Arabidopsis thaliana: one gene and its partner. The protein of the gene in region 1 binds, or shares a complex with, the protein of each later gene. Each region holds a gene or a part of one and is shown on either strand. Other genes may lie near its edges.

Region 1 (11,130 bases):
TCTACCTACAGAGATATCTTATTCTGAAGTCATGCACAGACAGTTTACAGTTTCAAATAGATCTAAACAGTCAGAAGATACTTCTCACCCTTAATCCCTATACTCACTAGCATGGAAACAAATAGTAATAAGACAATGCACTTCAGCTATCCTCCAAGTTAGATAATTGTAGTGACAGAAATGATGAGCCAAGACAATTCGCTGAGATGGTTATTAATCTGCCTATCTTTCTAAATCTAAAACTTAATATATCCAAATACGCACAACAATTCAGGCTATATAAAGTATCAACAGCAAAAGAAAGTCTGGGTCAAAAACCATACCTTTACTAGTTTTGGCTTGGAGGCTTTGTTGTGAGAGCCCGTCTACAGAGGATGGGATAGTTCTGGTTTCGAACAACCGTACACCAAACCTTAGCTTGATACTCAACAGGAGGTCCATCAGGTTTCTCCCTAGCCATGAATGTGATGAACGACTTTGACCTTGATCCTGCTGAAAATATACCTCGCACCACTTCCACAAACTCCACATCGAAACCCTTGAAACAATCAGAAAACGAACCAGATTTATTAGATAAATACACTTGTAAAGAGTTGAGTGATAATTAGCCAAAAATAATATACCGACATTTTCGATTCTTTTCTCTTCGTTGTACTTTTTGAGACAGAGACAAGCCATCTCTGCAAAGTACTCGGTAGGTTTGCCCGAAACTGGCAGGCAAATCCAAATTAGGGACTACTTTGTAATCCGAGTAGTTGTACCATGGCCAAAGCTCTCGCTCCACATAAAACCCCTAAATTCAGGCACACGCACTAGTCAAGATTTACTCTTTATCCAGCTAACAAATTAAGTTCAAATTCAATACGGTTACCTTATTCTCGATGAGCTGGCGCTTAAAGCGGCGCCATTGATTTTCATCTTCGTCATTAGAGAATTCATTTTTATATTCAGAGGAATTGTACTCGAGACCTTCGAAGCTGTCCACATCCCATTCAGGGACTTTAAACCACGTCGGATGTTTTAGCTCCTCGTTAGGGTCAACGTACTCCTCGCCGAGAGAGAAACTTAATTTGCTCTCAAAATTAAATAAAATTAAATAAAAATTGCTCTCTAAATTTATTTATTTTGATCCTTTCAGTTTAATTTAATATAAAATATATATAAATACAAGAAAAATTCAAAAATTATTTATTTTTAGCTGAACAAATCGTTATTCACTTTAAAATACGAGTAGCAAAGAATAGCAAAATAAAAGTGAAAAAATTACACAATATTTCTAATGTTCAAATATCACACCGTAAAATTGCTCTATATAAAATTAACGATCATCATCAGTCTAGGTCGGTGTTCCATAGATTGGAGATATGGGTGTTGATTCCTTAGTTCTCATGATGAGTTTGAACTTCGAGTTTGTTTCTAGCAGCTGTACAAATTTGGTACTCATCAGTTTTAGCCATAATGATAGTACAATCAATATATATATCTAACATGCTTATTTATGTATTTTCTGTCTCTCTCACCATATATTCTAGTTACAGGAGTATATCAAGTCATGGTACAGGTCTAGATTCTCTTAACTTGATTACTAAACATTAGTTACGGGAATCACAATATTGATTACTAATTAATTAAGGTCATATGGATTGTTTTAATTTGATTTATTAGTTTTTATGTTCTATATTTCAGGAATTTTACAATGAATGATGACGATGAACCACGAAGACCGATAGGTGGAAGACACCAAAAACCCAAGCTACCAAATCTGGCCAATGAATCAAAACGGGCTAAGAATCGGGCTGCTAGTCAAGGTCAACAACCAGTTCAACAAGAACTAGTCGAACAAGGACCAATGAGTTTAGTACTGGTATTTATACGAAATTCACCAATCAACTATTTACAAAACAATAAGTCTAGCACTCGGTTTTAGATTTTTGTTTTCATTTGATAATTCAACCCAGCTGGAATTTCATAATATTTTCAGACAATACTACCAACACAAAACCAAAATTGACCAAAGTCCAACCAAGATGAATTATCAGAATCGATTGATATCCCCTATATAAATTGATAATCATTCTATAAAATAAACTTTATCCTCAAGTGTTATTAACAAAATTGTCATGCTGATGTGTCGTTATCATAGTGACTTTTTACCCATTTAAATAATTGCCCAAATTTTACTAGACTATATACAGATTTTGTCATTAGTATTATACAAACATATAACACAAAAATTAAAAACGCAATCATAACCATAATACTACATCTATAATATAAAAACAAATTCAAAAACATATAATCCTGTATATAGAGTGTCAATATCTTCTTCATCTACAATAATACAAAACTTCACAAATATATATTACAGAAAAATTGTTTTCACCCTACGAAAAATATATAAAACAGTATTACTAATACTCTAAGCGAATTATTTTATAATATTATATTATTTATCCAAGCTATAAATATCAAAAAAAAATCATGATCATTTTACAGTAAAAACATAGTAATAGAATATGAATATTTTCTTTCATATTTGCTAATATATTATTAATCATATCATGGATATCACATATAGCTATCTAAAACTTAAAGATATTATAGATTTTGGCCACTACAATAGATTATATACCTAATCCAATGTTAAATTTATTTAATATTTATTCTTAAACAAAAGTAAATGCAGTTTCAAGTATAATCTTATTATATTATAGAGTGCTAAATATTTTACGTTTTTATTTTTTTTTACTCTAAATATTTTACGTTTTTTGTAGCCATTTCCGCATTTATTTTTCACTACAGATTTACTTGGGAAAAAACCGCCATCTATTTATAATTTAGACGTTTAATACATGTAACATTAACTGCGGTTAAAAGCTAACCATGGTTGTTTAGGATATATATAATATATCGTTTCACATGTTGACAAATGGAATGTCTTAGTTGAGTGGTTGAACGTTGCTCGATTTTTTTTCGATCTCGGATCGATAGCTAGATTGATCAACCATTAGATTTGGAACAGAATTTTTTTTACTCTGTCTTTGCTGTATAAGTCCTGGATAATAAGCAAATAATAACATAAATTCGACCAAATATACAAAAACACAGGTCTTAAATATGTTACATAAACCACATAACTTAAAAGTTGTTACAGTTGTTTGAGAAACACACAAAGCCAGAGAGAGCTACAAAATCAGATAACAGAGTTTTCTTAAAACACACACTACTAGTTGGAACAAGTGGGTTTAGTGACCAAACACATCATTGTTCTTCACCAGTTTTAACTACTTTTACACTGAAGATAAATATATCAAAGCTTTTTTCACCTCACGGCGAAGTTACCTTAATAGAGAATGAGCCAAAGATGATTTGCCTGTTCACAGCCAAAGCGGATTGGCAAAAAGGAAAATCCTTTATACCAAGGCAAGAGTTCTTTATCTCTCTCCGTTTGACTGTGAAACGGTAAAGGATCAGGTTTTGAAATTGCAGCAGCCATTATCCATTGCTGCTGCTGCTGCTATCCACTTGCTAGGCATTACCATGCCACCAAGAGAATGAACGGGAGAACTTAGGAAGTAGTTCATGCTAGTAACTTCTGATCCCGACACATTTAATCCGTTCGATAAGTTCATGGTCCCGTTTTCCGGATGAACAACTTCAGAATTCTGAGAGTTACTTTGCTGAGGCTTAGGCTGAGACTGAATCTGCATACTTCCATCACCTTTCTTTGCATTGGTTCCGCTATTTTCCAAGTTCTGACTTTTAGTGTTCAAGAATCTCCCACCGGATCCTCTAGGACGCCGCAATGCATGGAGATGGCGCGAATGATGCATATATGGCTGCAACATACATAACAAAAGCAAACACACTAATTCAGTAATAAAATCTCATTTGCACAAAAGTATCAAACTAGTTTCTATATGTTACCTTGCGGCATCTACTACTCAATTTCTTCTGATCAAGAACAGCAGCAGCCTTTGCGCGGGATTGGCGTCTCCTTATGATTCCATGGTATTGCTTTGAGTTCACATAGATGGTACTATCTTCCGTTTCCATGTTTAGAGGAAGCATTACCCTGCTCTGAGATCCATAGGCTGAAACAACTCCATAGTATTGTTGTTCTCCATAGGGATACTTTGTATAGATCTAAATGACCAAAGTAAACAGCCAACAAACACTAAATACTCAGAAACAAATTAAAGGAAACTCATGATAGGCTTATTCATTATATGTTTTTCAATGCGGAAAAGTTTTTACCGGTGGCTGAGAAAATCCAAGTTCCAAGCAAGGTGATTGCATTGAGAAAGTAGCTCCATGAGGCTTTGGCACAAGTCTTGGACTCTTTACATCACCTAATACATACATAGTGAAAATTATTCCAAATCAGATCACAAACGCATTCTTAGATTCACAATTACCTACAGAACAAATAACATTTTTACAATCCAGAATTTGAACCATAAAGATATCTTTTTAAACATCTTTATATCTTGTAGAATCTTAGATTCTCTTTTCGGACAATTTAGCTCAGTTCTGTTCACTCTCAGTCATACCTATAAATAACTAGTAAAACATGTACTAGCACTTTCCAAAAAAAGCCACTTTTGACAAATTCAGAAATTTTCACTAGAACCATCTATTTGAGGGCAAAAGAAGTTAAGAGTTTACCAAGTGAGAAAGCTAAGTGCGTTGCAGAGTTGCTCTGTTTATCCACACGTTGTCCTGTCTCTCCGACAGATCCGACCTTAACTCCGGCGAATGAGTCAGAATCGCCGGCGAGACTCTCCGGAGCCAACGGCTGAGATCCAAAAGCAGTCCACCAAGAAGTCTGTGGAGCAGAGAAGAGACCTTCTCTCACAGTTTGCATAGCCATCTCCAAATTCCAATTACAAAAAGTGAAAAATAGATAGTGCCTAGAAGAATAAGAAAGATATGTTCCTGTGGAAGATAACAAAAAAAAAAAAGTCAACAAAGTAATAATAAGAGTTGGATGTGAAATCTTTGTCAAATTTCAAACCCAATTTAGAAAACTTGTAAGAAAGAAAGGAAAGAACTTTGGGATTGGGTATTACGCAAAACCACACGAATGACAAAACCCATATGTGAATCATCATCAAGAGACAGACTTGTTGTCTAAAGTAAGAAAAAAAGATTGTGTGAAACGAGAAGATAAGACGCAAGAACTGAAATCTTTTTCACAGACTAGAGATCCCCAATAGCAAACAAACTCCAAAAAGAAGTAAAATAAAATCCCAAATGTTGGTCAAAATCAAACACACGAAAACCTATGTGAATCTAAAAGAATAAAGCAAAGAAAAAAAGAGAAAGAGGTTGAGTAAAACTTACACAGATGGAGTGATAGAGTAGAGAGTAGAGAAGAGCTTCAGATTCCTAGGAAGAGGCAGAGAAAAGCCCAATTGTTAGGAAGCCATCTCGGTTCCAAAACAAGAAACAGAGATTCATTCACACACATTAGTATTTAGTAGGGAGAGAGAGAAAGAGAAGAGAGAGACGTACTAATATATGAATTACAAATGTAGATGACAACTATAGCTTTATCAACCAATCACCTTCAACTTTTATGCTGCTCTGTTTTTTTTTTTAATTTTCTACTTTATTTGGAGTTGGAGATATAAATGTAAAACAACTAAAAATAATTGGTCTGGTTTTTAACTATAGCGTTGGCTTGACGTGCTTTGTTTTAAAAAGCTACAATGATCCCACTTAAATCCATTTTTATTTCATTTTTGATTTTTGATATTTTTCCACTAGGTAAGAGTAGTGCTTGGCTTGTCAATTGCATCGTTTATTATTATGATTGTGGTCCTTGTAAGCTTTTAAATTAAAAATGTGCATATACGTCATATGGAAAAAGGATCACCACTCAAAAATAATAAAATAATTAAAACTAAAATAAAGTAACAATCTGACATCTTCAACAATGACATGCCAATATTTGCTATTATAAGCTCGTGACTTATTCCCTACCAAAACATTATATAAAGTCTGCCAGAATCAACCTTTGTATAATTCTGTAAATAGACCAAACATATTTTCGCAATAGCATTTCCACTTGTTGAGGATGTTATTCTTAACTAGGTTTTCAAATGTTTTTCACACATTTGTCCTTTTGTTTCCTCTTTTGTTATGTTTCTTTAAATAGTTCTAGTTATTTTGTGAACCCGACCGTACACGTGTTTATGATTGAAATTAGACAACTAATAGTTAAGCTCTATAGATATCATTCCGGAGACATTATAATACATGTTATATATTTGTAAGAGATTGCTTTTGCTTTTAGTGTTGGACTTGATTATTATGGATTAGCTTCCTTTACCTAATTTAAGAATTTGGTTTATATTAGATGTTGAATTGAACTTAACTGAATTAAATCTAAGAGAAATAAAATAAGGTTAAATTGAAAAATAGAATATTGGTTTACGGGCTTGACAAAGAAAAAAAAAGGGTTTACGTTAGTGCTTGCTTTTGTTTATACGTCGTGCACTGGTGCTTAAGCATATCCCACTAGCAGCTTTTCTTTCATCCGAAACACAATAATTAATTGAATTATGCACTATAGTACAGTAGTACGTACACTATCTTCTAACAAAAATATCTACTTTCACTGACATATAGAAAGCTCAGTTCTAGTCTTAGTTTATTGCTTTATCGTAAATATATATCTAAAGCACAATCTTTTTATGGATTTGTGATCAACGATTTTAATGTAGTTGGCAAAAGAACAACATAATTAAATAGCTTATTTTCAAATAATGTAGGGAATATAGCTAGACTGCAAAATGCGAATCATAAGACTCAAAGCAAAACTAGAAATGTTTTATGGTGAAGATATGAATTTGTAGTCATCGATCGATATAGTACTTTTCATGAATGTACGTTTTGCTAAACACTTTATCAATAAATAAAAAGTATGTTTTGGTCTAAAGCATTAAAGAGATATCAAAGCATGTTATATATCAACATTAAAAGGTCAACCTGCCACCAAAGGTAGATGAGGATGCAAGATGATAGTCAACGTACGATGGGTAGATCTATTGTTTTGTAATTGATTGATGTTGAGCTACATTCCACAATCAAAATATTTCTACAGATGAAGAACTTTCAAAATTGGTTTACTACTGTATATTGGTATATATAATATACATATTCGATCTACTCATTTTTTAGTCTTTTTCAAAGATTTCTACATGTAAAATGGTTTTCATATTAGTTGTAGATTTTAACTACGATGAATAATTATTATTTACTAAGAATAAAAATTGTCAGTCTGATTCGTCTCCTCTAGACACGTATAGATAACAATACTAAAGCTGCTCTGTGGGATGAAATTAGTTTTGACACTAATTAACCATAAACCTAATTACAACCTTATTATATAAAAGAAGATTAACAACACTAAGATATATAAAATAACCCATTAGCTTTCTTAAAGAGATTTTGCTTTTCTTCTGAAAATATATATAAAAAAACAGTCGCTATAGATATTGTTCATCTTATTCTCCTATGCGATTAATATGTAAGTCACTCATTGGCTCCACTTGTTCATAAGCTTCCAAAAAACACGATTACTGACTAATCACCAACTATATTTTTCTATGTTCTTAAGAAAATTGACAACCCAACTTTTGAATATGCACGAAATAACAAAGTATTAAAATGAAGTAGAGCTACATATGCATTCCACTTGAATACATGAACTAAGGACACTCAAGTGGAAGTCGAGTGTGTACGTTTATGGTATTAAAGGAATTAAAGAACCTTTGCTTACGACAGTAAAGGAATTAAAGAACATTTGCTTTTAGCTATGTCACTTCCTTTCCTCAATGTTCGATTGGATCGTTGGCAAACATAAAATTTCTTTTAACACACAAAAAAGCATAATCATCAAGTGTGTCAAGTTTGGTCGAAAAATTACAACCGCTGAGAAGAAAGAACTATACAGTTTTATTTTTCTTTCAAAAAAAGGCTGCATTTAGATAACTTCAATAACTCATTTACGTGTTTAGATTATTGCTTATCACACTCACTGACTTATCTATCATACTCGTTTCTTTAGGTTATTCAGATCTTAGCCTAAAGCCCAATACAATCTACATCTTACTTTGTACATTGCAAAACTTGATAATTCGATTTTAGTTGGATCCGAACATGGGTCCATTCTACATCTTACTAAATAATTGACTTTGGGCTACCAAAGAGATCGGCCCATTAAAGAATCTAAAACCTAAGAACGGCGAAAATGTGGAGTTTAGCAAAAAGTCCCACATCGGTAATAAGAAACAAGAGAAGCTCCGGGAACAGGGTATAAATAAGAGAGTCATGACTTTGAGCAAATCACTTACCTGGACGGGGTCAACTCGCGATCAAGAAGACGAGTGGCCTAGGCTAGTGACTCCCATTGCACATACCGGGAGGGTGCTATGCTTAAGGTCTTCCCTAGAGGAAGAGCCTACGTCATTATTTGTGGCAGCGGGGGTTTGCGTTCGCGCAGCCCCTACCATATCTTTTCAGTGTCTAAGTTTTTCGATAATCACAATCAGTAAATGGTGTAATTTTGTCTCGTTGTTGATTAGTTTGGGGATACCCCAGCTTAACGACTAACGAGCTTCAGAAACTATAATAAAGCTATAAATCTGATTGCAGAAGAATGTGCCTCTACAAAATCTGAAGCCGTTTCCATGACAAATTTTCAACATATATGGTCATTCTTATCCTAGTAAACAACTGGAAACGAATAATTGAACGCGAATACGTGAAATACATACATTTTTGTTTTTTTTCTCATGACCTACAAGCAATTGGGGCGTTAACCGCAGAAGCTAATGTGTTCTTAGGTTACACTCATTCATAATCTCTCTCCTTTATTTGCTCCCCACAAACAATAATTTCGTACTTTGTCCTGCTGAGACAGAACATGGAGTTTCCTCATTGCTGACAAGTTACCAGAAGCGATACTCCATTATAAGCTGTCATCAAGAATCGTAGAGCTCAATAGCTCTCGAACAAACTCACTGCGTTTCAACTTCTGCTTGTGATCCTCAGCTGAAAGAGAAGTTTTTTTCGCATTCCTATCATCCACAAAACCTTCATCAGTGATCCATACATGTCCTATATGGGTATAAGAACTCAACTTGATCAAAGAGTTTCAGTTTGGCTCATAAATCCCAAGTGTGCCCAAAAGTAAAACATTGAAGCAAATGTTCCAATGGAAAGTTATAGACCAAACACTTAAAATAACCTAGAATCATCTAGGTTCAATCAGTCTTGAAATACCAGATTTTTACTAACAAGAGGTTAGGCAAAGTAAAATGATTGAGAAGAAGTAAGCATACTGTTCGGGTAAACACTGAATAGTTGTTTTCTTGACAGGACCCGTTTCTGCAGATATGCATGACTCCGTGGTGAAGAACCCATCAGCAATAGGAGAAATGAACGACGATAACAATGGGTCAGCAGCTACATTGGATGATGAGGAAGACGATACTATACACGAAGATCCTCCAAAGAGGCTCTGAAAGTTTCCATCAGGAAACTCTCTCCTTAAGATCGATAATGTGGAATATGACCCGCCTCTTCTTGGTTTTCTCTTGCGGTGCATGTAATATTTTGTCAAGAACACAACTTAATAACAGACTATAGAAACACTGATAGAAAAGATTGATTGTTATATATGACTTGGGAGAAAGAAAAAAAGGATATCTTGAAAATATTAGCGTGCTGAAGGGTTATATGAGCAACCATGTCAACACCCACCCTAACCGCACAAACTGGACATACCTGCAATAACAATGTTCACTAGATTAAACGCTAAGTTTTCATAGAATCCAAACAAAATCCCCCAAATATCAGATGCAATAGATACAGCTGATCCTACTATTCCTTCGTGAATCGGCTATAAACATGCTATTATTCTCAGTTTTCTTTGTCATATCATCCAAGTAACAACAGAGGAGGAACCAACACCGCTCAGTCTAAACTTTTGAGAATCATGTGATGAATCAGAAATGTATAAACGCATCTTTATGCTTCAAATGGTTGTTTTAAAAAAGAAATAAGAAAGTTACCCCATTTTTGGCTTCCATAGGATGATCTTCATCTATGTGGCAGCAGAGAGAGACAATATCAAAATAGTCAGAACAGAAAGGGCAAGCAAACTCTTCCCTGAACTCTTCTTCTCCATCTATCTCTTCAAACCCTAAGAATGTATCTGCAATCCCAAAAACACATCAACCAAATATTTATACAGCAAAGCTATAAGAAAACAAAGAGAGTAATCAGATATACTAAACCCCTACTCTACCTCTGAGGTTACAGTATATGAAACATATTCTCCTCTTCTGAGGAGAACAATATCTTCACTTTCTCATGTTCATAAACACTGAGCATAGTAGCATCACAGGAGTAATTAAAATGCTAACAAAGACTGCAACTTTGGATAATTTTCATCCATTTTCTCAGGAATCGAGCAAAACCAGAATCAAACCATATTTCATCAGTCAATAAAAATCAATTACAAAAGCCCCCTTTCCTTCATTTTTGCTAGTATCAAGCAAAGCCTAAGGCGATGAAAAAATGACAAAATACGAAATCTTTCAAAACAAGATCGAAGATTTCTCATATATTTCTTAATCTTCAAAACAGAGATTCTAAATCGGAAAGAAAACACAAGTCTATCACCTAAACTACCTTCGCCCATCAATTTTCAGACGAAAAAAAAGATCAGATAACAATCATTTAGAACAGAGGGAGAAAAAATTCATATCATTTAAACTAACCAGATCGTGATGGAAAAGCTAGCTGGTATCTCCTCGTAGCTGAAGCGAGACGATCACTCCATGAATCGGAATCCATTATTGACAAAACCCGGAAAACAAAAGTCGAAAGTTTTGTACTTTTTTCCTTAACAAATAAAACGTTTTGAAGAAAATGAATCTGTATACGAAAGTAAATGATTCTGATTACTGTCTGAAGAAATCCAACGAAAATGGTAAAGACAGATTATGAAGACCACGATTCTGGGTCGGTTTATTAACAAAGTTTTGTCTTTCTTTTTTTCTTCTTCTCCTCGTTTTAATTAATTTTGGATAGAGAGTGAGAGACAGAGGAGAC
Region 2 (9,222 bases), on another chromosome or scaffold:
AACTGAACAAGCCCATTTTCCTAAAATTGCCCCATCATTTCCCGGAATTTCAGGACAATGTTGAGAGAAGATGGTCCAAATTGAAGTAAAATATATACTAAGATTGTTATCATTGATTATTTGTTGTACGTCTTAATTAGGATCAAACTTAGTTGGTCATAACTATTTTCACCGATGCTGACTTCGAAAGTTTTAAGAAATATAATTATATGATTAAATCATATAATAATGTTGACCAAATACGATTCACGGAATTTTTACCGCCCAATTTCTGTATACATGTGATGTGATACGTGAAGAGTTGACCAATGGAGGCAACGTCTAACAAATTGGTAGGCAATTAAAAAAGTACATTAATCATAGAAGTGATCAATAAAGACATTACTTAGACATGTTGAAAGAGGTACTCATGTTTTTATAATATCATTTTTATTTACTCGGAATCTTAATATATTTTCATTTTTATTTACTTAACATATTTTGGGCAAACGTATGTTCGTATTTTCAAAACCTAAGAGATGTAACAATATCATTCAACAATCAACGGTCATCACTCATCACCTATACTTTTCAGGTTATTGACATGAAAGAGTGAGATTTACTAAAACAACCTACCAACGTTTAGCAGAAGGCCACGTGTTGAGAACCCACATTGCAAGAAAATGTAGGGATTCCATGCACTACAGCAGATACACAATAGACCTTTGTATTTTAATAGTTAAAGAATTAGAAAAGTCAGACGACTAATCACGGGTTTAAACCGTTTTTTTTCTACCACTATAGTATAGTACTATAGTCTCTTTCTTCGTCCCTTATATTATCGACTCTATCTCCTTACCTCATTCTTGTTCCCCTCTTATCAAACTTCACCCCCAACAAGAGTTATCGAGAGAGAGAGAAAACATATTCTGATTTAAGACATATATAGACAGCAAGAAGAGATATGAACCTTAAGGAGACGGAGCTTTGTCTTGGCCTCCCCGGAGGCACTGAAACCGTTGAAAGTCCGGCCAAGTCGGGTGTTGGGAACAAGAGAGGCTTCTCCGAGACCGTTGATCTCAAACTTAATCTTCAATCTAACAAACAAGGACATGTGGATCTCAACACTAATGGAGCTCCCAAGGAGAAGACCTTCCTTAAAGACCCTTCTAAGCCTCCTGCTAAGTAAGTTCTATTTACACAATTCCTTAAGAAGAAGACCTTCCTTAAAAGGGAAGACTTTTTTTTTTTTTTTTTGAGATAAAAAGACTAATAGTTGATATAAAAGTTCTTAAAATACATATATATGAAAGATGTAAGGATGCATAAGTAATAACGTTATTGAATGTGTGTGTGTGTTGTTATATTCTATGCAGAGCACAAGTGGTGGGTTGGCCACCGGTGAGGAACTACCGGAAAAATGTTATGGCTAATCAGAAGAGCGGCGAAGCAGAGGAGGCAATGAGTAGTGGTGGAGGAACCGTCGCCTTTGTGAAGGTTTCCATGGATGGAGCTCCTTATCTTCGGAAGGTTGACCTCAAGATGTACACCAGCTACAAGGATCTCTCTGATGCCTTGGCCAAAATGTTCAGCTCCTTTACCATGGGTATGCATTTTCAGACATATAAGTCGAATTATCATTATTATTTTTGTGTTTACTTACAATTTTTTCTTTTTAACGATACAGTTTTTTCCATATACGACTAATTAATATGATAAGTTTTGGGATTTTGATTAATTAAGGGAGTTATGGAGCACAAGGGATGATAGATTTCATGAACGAGAGTAAAGTGATGGATCTGTTGAACAGTTCTGAGTATGTTCCAAGCTACGAGGACAAAGATGGTGACTGGATGCTCGTTGGTGATGTCCCCTGGCCGTGAGTTTCCTCATTCTTCTTGCTTTCATTATTATGACCAAAATTATTCTCTAAACAAAAAAAACAATATTCTCTAAAGCATTATTATTGATATTACTTATCAAAAAAATACACAAAATGATAATCAATATCCATGTGTTATAAACACGCACAGCCATCTTTTGGTTGGCATGGGACAGAACTCAGAGACAGAGAAGATGTTTATATATAAATACTAACTCATCAATATGTTACCTCATTTGTAGCTGGCACATATTCTTTCACTTTCAATAGATTTCTAAATTTAGTCACCAACCCAAATCCCGATTTCAGGATGTTTGTCGAGTCATGCAAACGTTTGCGCATAATGAAAGGATCCGAAGCAATTGGACTTGGTAAGTTTTCTTTTCTGTTCGTTTCTATAAGTGGCTCTTTTCTGTTTTTCCAATAATGCTCGTGTTTTTTTTTCAGCTCCAAGAGCAATGGAGAAGTTCAAGAACAGATCATGAACAAAAAAAAAAGAGGACAATATGCATTGATTTTTTTTTTTTGGTATTGTTATGATCATGTGTTTTTAATTTAAAATATTGGAAGTATATAGGAAAATATAATTGTTTACGAAAAAAATAACTTTAAATATGTCTTTTTTTTTTTTTTTGAAATTAGTCTGTGTTTTTGTTTTCATCTCTTAATTAGTAGAAATCATTTTTTAATATGTAATTGTGATAGTAAATCTATAGAGTTCGTATTTTTGCTATTTAAAATTTAAAATGCTAATACTATATATAATTTATGATAGGTAAATTTACGTTAAATAATTTATCTCCACTTTTCCTACTTTATTATTCTTTTCCTCTTTATTTTCTCATTTATTGGCTTTACAGATTATATTTGAAATTTGTAACTATTTTTGATGTATCTAAAAACATTTCACATAACAATTTCTTAAGAAAACTAAGAAAACTGTTGGTATATTTTTTGACTAAAATGGTTTCCAAAAAGATTTTGAAACGAACTAAAATCTTCATTACAAAACCAATTTTAAAACTACAAAACAAATATTCATGGTTTTAAGTTTCTTTTTTCTTTCCTAGTTACGTGGGAATACGTTATTAAATTCAGGACCCATGAGAGGCGTAGGGAACAAGAGCATGTGCATATTCATGGGTCTTTCAAATTCAGTCCATCCTCTTCATGCTAATGTGCCCTTCACCACTAGAAGCATAAAAATTTTCTTTCCTTTTTGGAAAATCTCTCTGTTTCTTTTTTTTCAGTAAAAATTAAGATTTCATTTATAAAAAATATCATAAGGGGTAAAATACATATGCCGGGTAAGAAAAATAACCAGTTCAGAAGTTAAGCCGGCGAGAAAACGGATTTTCTAGAGACAAATACATATACAAAAAGGAAAAATTCCAGAATAAAAAAAACATATTAAAACTGATCCAAAACTTCCCAAACTTATCACTTAAGAACTCAAAAATCTAATACAAATTCTAAATCCAAATTAAAACAAAATATAGATCTGAGATTAGAGATCCATTCAAAGAAAATAAAATCAATATTCTTCTTACCGTAAACGGCGGTGAGACAAACCAACACCCGAAGACCCAAAGGAAAAAAATCTCATAAAGAAAGGAAGGAGATCGAGATCTTCAATGGTGAGAAGTATGCATCTAAGGCGTTGAAGAATCGAATAGATCTACCTCTGGCATGGTTGGAACGACCAGAACTAAAGCTGTAGATGAAGGAGTAAAAAACAAGCAGCAAATCCCGTAGATGAAAGGATTTAGACTTTATTGATCTAGATATGAGAATTTAGATCTTAAACCATTGGAAGAAAATATGATTCAGATCATACCAAAACAAAAAGAAATCAAAACTAAAGAAAGAAAGTAAAGAAACCTCGCTTCCGATGCTGAAAAAAGCCACTGAAACAAGTAATCTTAGGCAGCGGCGGAGAAAGCTTTTTTATAGAGAACATAGAGCTTTTATTTTAAGAGACAGAAAATTTTTTATTAAATCAAAAGTGATTTTTGAAGTGTTTGGAAAATCTCTCATTTTTCCTTCTTTTTTAATATTTTACAGAAAGTTAGTTATTTGACACAATAAATTAAAAATTATTATTAATTTCCCATTAATGAACTGAAGAATTCTAGTTACTCCTACAATGAATGATAGTTTGGATAATTGATGAAATGATTCCGAATTATTCTCCTCCCTAAATGCTTGGCATAACATCAGAATATCTAAACCATTAGTTCTTTAGTTGGTTTTGGTATGGCATAAGGTGAGAATTCCTAAACATGCTTTCGCAGTTTATAACTCTTTATTTTTAACCTCAACCCTACTATTGATAGGATTTTTTTTGAGATGTCATGTTGAACAAACTTGCTTTAATGTGGCATTGAGGGAGAATCTAGGAATTCACCACTTGCACTTAAATTATTCATTTTCAGCTCAAATCTGAAACAAAATTATGGTAAAGTTGTTGCCTACAACCCTACCTATTGAATGATTCCAGCACCATCCGCCTGTCATCAACAACTTCTACAAGCAATGACATCTCCATTGCACTGCTTCAAGCATGTCATGCGTGTGTTTACGAGGTTTGGCATAAGAGTACCACATGCATCCACAACGCCACAACTCTTTTCCAGCTTCGCTCTACTACAAAGTTCTCAATGTTGTGAGAACAGAGCACAAAGCATGGTCCTTCACGACCCAAAAAGGGTAAAAGCTTCTCCTATTGTATTGCTTTGGAATGTTTTGGAGAGATCCTTCCTATACAACTCCTTTTTGGAGTGATTTCTTGAAAGCTCTACTTCGATGGAAGAAGCACTAGCTGTACGAGCTATTATTATCATGAGTTTCTCTTTAATCTTTTGAAATTAGTCTTCAATATGGAGTCTGTCATGGAGACTTTCATTTAGGTTCGTCGGAACTTCCTATCTGATAAATTTTCAAGCCTTTGTCGTTATTTATAATGTATCGTTTCAATCTTGTTTTTAATTCTACACCGTATGATCTTCTCTGTTTTGAAATTCAATGTTGAATACAATTTGCTTGACAAAAACAATAATGGAAAGCAGTTTGGTTATTGTAGTCATGGTATTTGTTGATAATTCTTTATTTTTTCCTGATTTTACCTGGCTGATGTTTTGTTTAGTTTTTTGATAGAAACTTAGTTTTGATATTTGAGTATTGCTTGTAAGAAAAAATCTTTGAATATTTGTGGCATAACATGGACTAATGGAAAACCCAAGCTCTTAAAAACCTGGACTCAAATATGAAATTTTCGCATCACAACACTTTAAAAGAAAAACTAATATTACATGCTGTGGTTTCGGGCCTGGAGGAATTACGGGCTTCGGCCCAGAACCTCCTGAATTTCAAAAAAAAAAAAAAAAAAAAAAAAGATCAAAGATCAAAGATCAAAGGTTACGTTTTAGATATGCCCTTGATTACATCTCATGTTCCCTGCATCAAAGTAGAAAAAGTTTTTCAATGACTCTTTTTAGCTTGATGCTATAATTATATTCCCACTACAATTTTTTAGGAAACATTTTACTCTAAAAAAAATGTATGTCTCTCTCATTTGATTTTTCCTCCTAATTCAACCATAAACTTCGATATCCTAGTTTACTTTTGTTACTTTCATCTTTCACGAATAAACACCCTAACCTTCTTTTATTCTTTTTTTTTGAAAAAAGTAACACCCTAACCTTACGAATCATAAATTTAATATTTATTTTGTTACGTTAGTGGGTTGAACCTAGTTTTAAAAAAAAAATTCTGTAAACATTATACTAAAAGTTAAACATATATATATATATATCATTAATTAATAAAAATGAAAATTTGCTTTTATCATTTTACAATTAAGAAAAATGATGGGAAAATTGATGTCCCATCGTAGTCACCATGCCACCACCGTACATCGGAGCTCCTCCACTTCCACTTCCAGCTCCACCGCCTCCTCCTCCACCTTCCTTATCGCCTTGTCTCCCTGCCGTAGTAGTCTTCTCTCCTTCCACCTCCCTATACTTTTGCAGATAAACCTTGAGAGGCTCCACGTAGTCCTCAAACCCTAGCGTAGTCATCGCCCAAAGAAGATCGTCACCGTTGATTGTCTTCCTCTTCTCTCTCTGACACTTGTCAGAAGCCTCACCGGTGATGAAACTTATGAATTCCGATACACACTCTTGAACCGTTTCTTTAGCATCCTTAGAGATTTTTGCGTTCGCAGGAAGTGCTTTCTTCATGATCCTGCTAACGTTAGCGATCGGTAGAAACCTATCTTGCTCACGTGTCGAAGCATTTCCACCGTCTTTGTGTCCTCCTGAATCGTTGTCCGAATCCGCCATCTTTAGATCGAGGAGACAAAAGGTCGAGAAAGAGAGATAGATGTTTTGGGTCCGTTGGATCAGAGAGGATAATAATCGTATCGTGATGACACGTGGGTAGTTATAGGTCGATTGTTTGTCGATAAGATTATTACAAGTGGATGTTATTTGGATAGAAAAGGAAGAGAGAGACTTGATAACCGGTTCTGTTTTTTCGGTTTGCCTTTATTATAAAAGACTCTTGAGTTCTGGTTATATATGTACTTTTGGTTTTTGTCGTTTATATCATGAAATCAAAAAACAAAACCCCTAATTCAGATTTTATTAAATTGATTTGGGCCAAAAGAAGACAAAATTTTGAATTTCCTCTTGCAATGGGCCTGATACGGGCCTAGATCCCTCCTATAAAACCACCGACATTTTTATATATACAATTGTTTCTAGGTTTCTTGTTACATACACTATCTATAAAGAGAGAGAGGTAGTGTCCCTCAAAATCTCTGTGAAATCAAAGAAAGCAGAATGGGAGGACTAAAGAGAAGAATTTCGATTGAGAAGATTCAGAAGAAAGAGTCACGAGCCGTTTGTTTCTCCAAACGTCGTACCGGTCTTTACAGTAAAGCCGCGGAGCTATTATGTCTTCTCTCCTCCGATTCACAGGTTGCGATCTTGACGACTCCTTGTTCTTCCAACTCTCACGTCTCCTTCTACTCCTTCGGCCATTCCTCTGTTGATTCTGTTGTTTCCGCTTTCCTCAAGGATCAGGGTCTTGTTCGTAAAGAGAATCTAGGGTTAGAGTTATGGTGGAAGACGAGAGTCTTGCTAAATCGGAGGATTCGGAGGAGTTGAGAAAAGCGATTGAGTCGATGTCTACGATGTTGAGAGATCTGAAGGAATTGGAATCTGTGAATAATTATCGAAGAGATCATCAAGAGGACGTCAAGATTAACAACGACATCAAGATTAAGAATCTTGTTTCACACGAAACCCTAAATCTTCAGTTAAGTTCTGCAACTTTTGGCGTTCCTGATGATGATCGTCTCAAAGAAGAAACGGAGATGGTTGTATTCGATGATCAGATCTTGGCGATTTTTGAGAGTAACGACAAACCTACAGGAAACTTGGAAGATCAAGAGATAGATCTTGATCAATTCCTAGATTTTGATCAACTCATAGATTTCGAGGGTTTGATCGATGGCGATTACTAGAGCACTCAAGAGTATCCAGAGCCTGCTGAGACTCGTCTTTTGATGAATTCGAAGATGGAAGATGTCTCGATGGTGATGAAAAATCCAAATCTGTGGTCTGATTCACAGAGGTTTAGATGAAAGATGATCCTTTTCAATGAGTTACCACACCATTGATGCAGTTTGAAGATAGCTCAGCAACTAATTTTCTTATATGCTTTTGTATGTATTAGTATTATATCAATATGTAACTCTGTCGGTATTGACCAATTGAAATTAATAGAATGTAATTGGTTCTGTCAACTTTGTTTACAAATATTTCTTGTCGATCCAGTTTAACACGAAACAACCCCAACGAATCTGAGGTTAACCTAAAAGCAAAAAAGTATCTAAAGACTTTTAACTTTTGGTGCCTTGTTTGGGTTACATGTATGGCTCATCTGACCCTGTAAGAGAGATGGGACCAAATGAACCATTGCCTTCCAAAGTTGCAAGAACATAATAGTCGTTTCTTCTCTTGTGTGGTCTCTCTTTAAACCGCACAGCCAACACCTGAAACCGCACAACAACTCCAACAGCAATCTTTGAGAGGTCGTCTTTCTGAAAATGCGGTTTCTCGTCCTCCGACAATGGTGAGTGGACATAATGATAATGTGGCATTTTCAAGAGTGAGAGGTATGCGTATCTGAGTGGTCCTGACCTGATAAAAGCTCCGTTCCACAACACTTTTTTTACAGTCCCTTGCAAGATATCTCCTCTTGCAGGCAAGAATGTGCGGCATGTGAAGGACACCGGGAATGTGAGGATTTTTGCTTGATGATTGTTTTCGTTGTCGATGTTGTTGTTCTTGTTGTTACCGATGCTTTTTAGAGCGGTGATGCCGAGATAGAATCCGTGTTCCCTGCACGCTTTCTCGTGTATTAGATCTTGGAGTAGTCTGCATAGAATCGGTTGGTGCGGCGATTGGCCATTCAAGTGTTTGGCACATATAGCCACGTCTCGAGCCATTTCTACTTCTGAAAACATTCGTGTTTATCTGTTACCTGAAAAAAACACAGGAGATTCTAAGTTGAAGGATGAATCATAAAATCCGCAACCAGAAATGATAACCATCAAGCCTTAATAAAGATTATAAAGCAGTATAAACGCAGGTCATAGGTCATAGAGAAAACATAACGTTTAAAGCAACGAAGCAGATATAAAATGTTTTGACGGCTAAATAGATTGAAGTTATATAGCATTGAACCTTATATGGTACCTGCATAAGAAGAACTTAGTTACTGATCAGCCCACTCAATTCTACATCAGAGAAAAGGAATCAACCAAGAGACAAAATTAAGAGCAAAGTACTCAAAACTGAAACTGCTAATTTTACATCAAACAAACAAAAAAGGTACTGAAACTGCAGTAACAAGACTAGAGGTCAATAATTTCTGAGAAAATCACACAACCTGAAGTGATCTCAACAAGATACAAGAAGATATATGTTGCACTTCTCAAAGAAAATCACATTAAGCTTCCAGAGATATGGGCATTGATCCACGATTCAGACAAGAACTAGCTACATAAACATATGTAACTGTCTCAGACAAGAACTAGCAACATAAACATATGTAACTGTCTGATCTCCAAAAACTTAAAAGAAATATCTTTTTGATTAGACAAACGACCATTTGAAAAATCACTAAACCAGTAAATGAAACACACACTTATGTTATTACTCCGCCATTAGAACCTCATTTACAGTGAAACCCAACATCGTAAAAATCAAAAGTCTTAATTTTTTTCCCTCTACTTTTTCAAAAACATGATAAACCCAAAATCAAAATCGAAACCCTTAATCACCAAAATT

Evidence for each region.
Region 2: NF-YA2 (region 1) and NF-YB3 share a complex: the UniProt entries of both Arabidopsis thaliana proteins name them as parts of the heat stress-inducible transcriptional complex.

Annotation. Positions count from the first base shown.
Region 1 is NC_003074.8:1,673,452-1,684,581, forward strand, and holds NF-YA2 (nuclear factor Y, subunit A2), read right to left. Parts: upstream 5,518-11,130; 5' UTR 5,101-5,517; coding exon 5,055-5,100; intron 4,939-5,054; coding exon 4,669-4,938; intron 4,353-4,668; coding exon 4,258-4,352; intron 4,147-4,257; coding exon 3,928-4,146; intron 3,840-3,927; coding exon 3,471-3,839; 3' UTR 3,053-3,470; downstream 1-3,052. Other genes in the region: AT3G05685 (Cystatin/monellin superfamily protein), read right to left, coding at 329-538, 692-793, 872-1,048, 1,404-1,457; AT3G05700 (Drought-responsive family protein), read right to left, coding at 8,981-9,089, 9,354-9,619, 9,721-9,798, 10,086-10,228, 10,797-10,872. UniProt on the Arabidopsis thaliana protein: Stimulates the transcription of various genes by recognizing and binding to a CCAAT motif in promoters.
Region 2 is NC_003075.7:8,341,645-8,350,866, reverse strand, and holds NF-YB3 (nuclear factor Y, subunit B3), read right to left. Parts: upstream 6,519-9,222; 5' UTR 6,205-6,518; coding exon 5,719-6,204; 3' UTR 5,543-5,718; downstream 1-5,542. Other genes in the region: IAA14 (indole-3-acetic acid inducible 14), read left to right, coding at 944-1,164, 1,356-1,585, 1,723-1,858, 2,171-2,288; AT4G14530 (agamous-like MADS-box protein), read left to right, coding at 6,984-7,391; AT4G14520 (DNA-directed RNA polymerase II-like protein), read right to left, coding at 7,794-8,396. UniProt on the Arabidopsis thaliana protein: Component of the NF-Y/HAP transcription factor complex. The NF-Y complex stimulates the transcription of various genes by recognizing and binding to a CCAAT motif in promoters.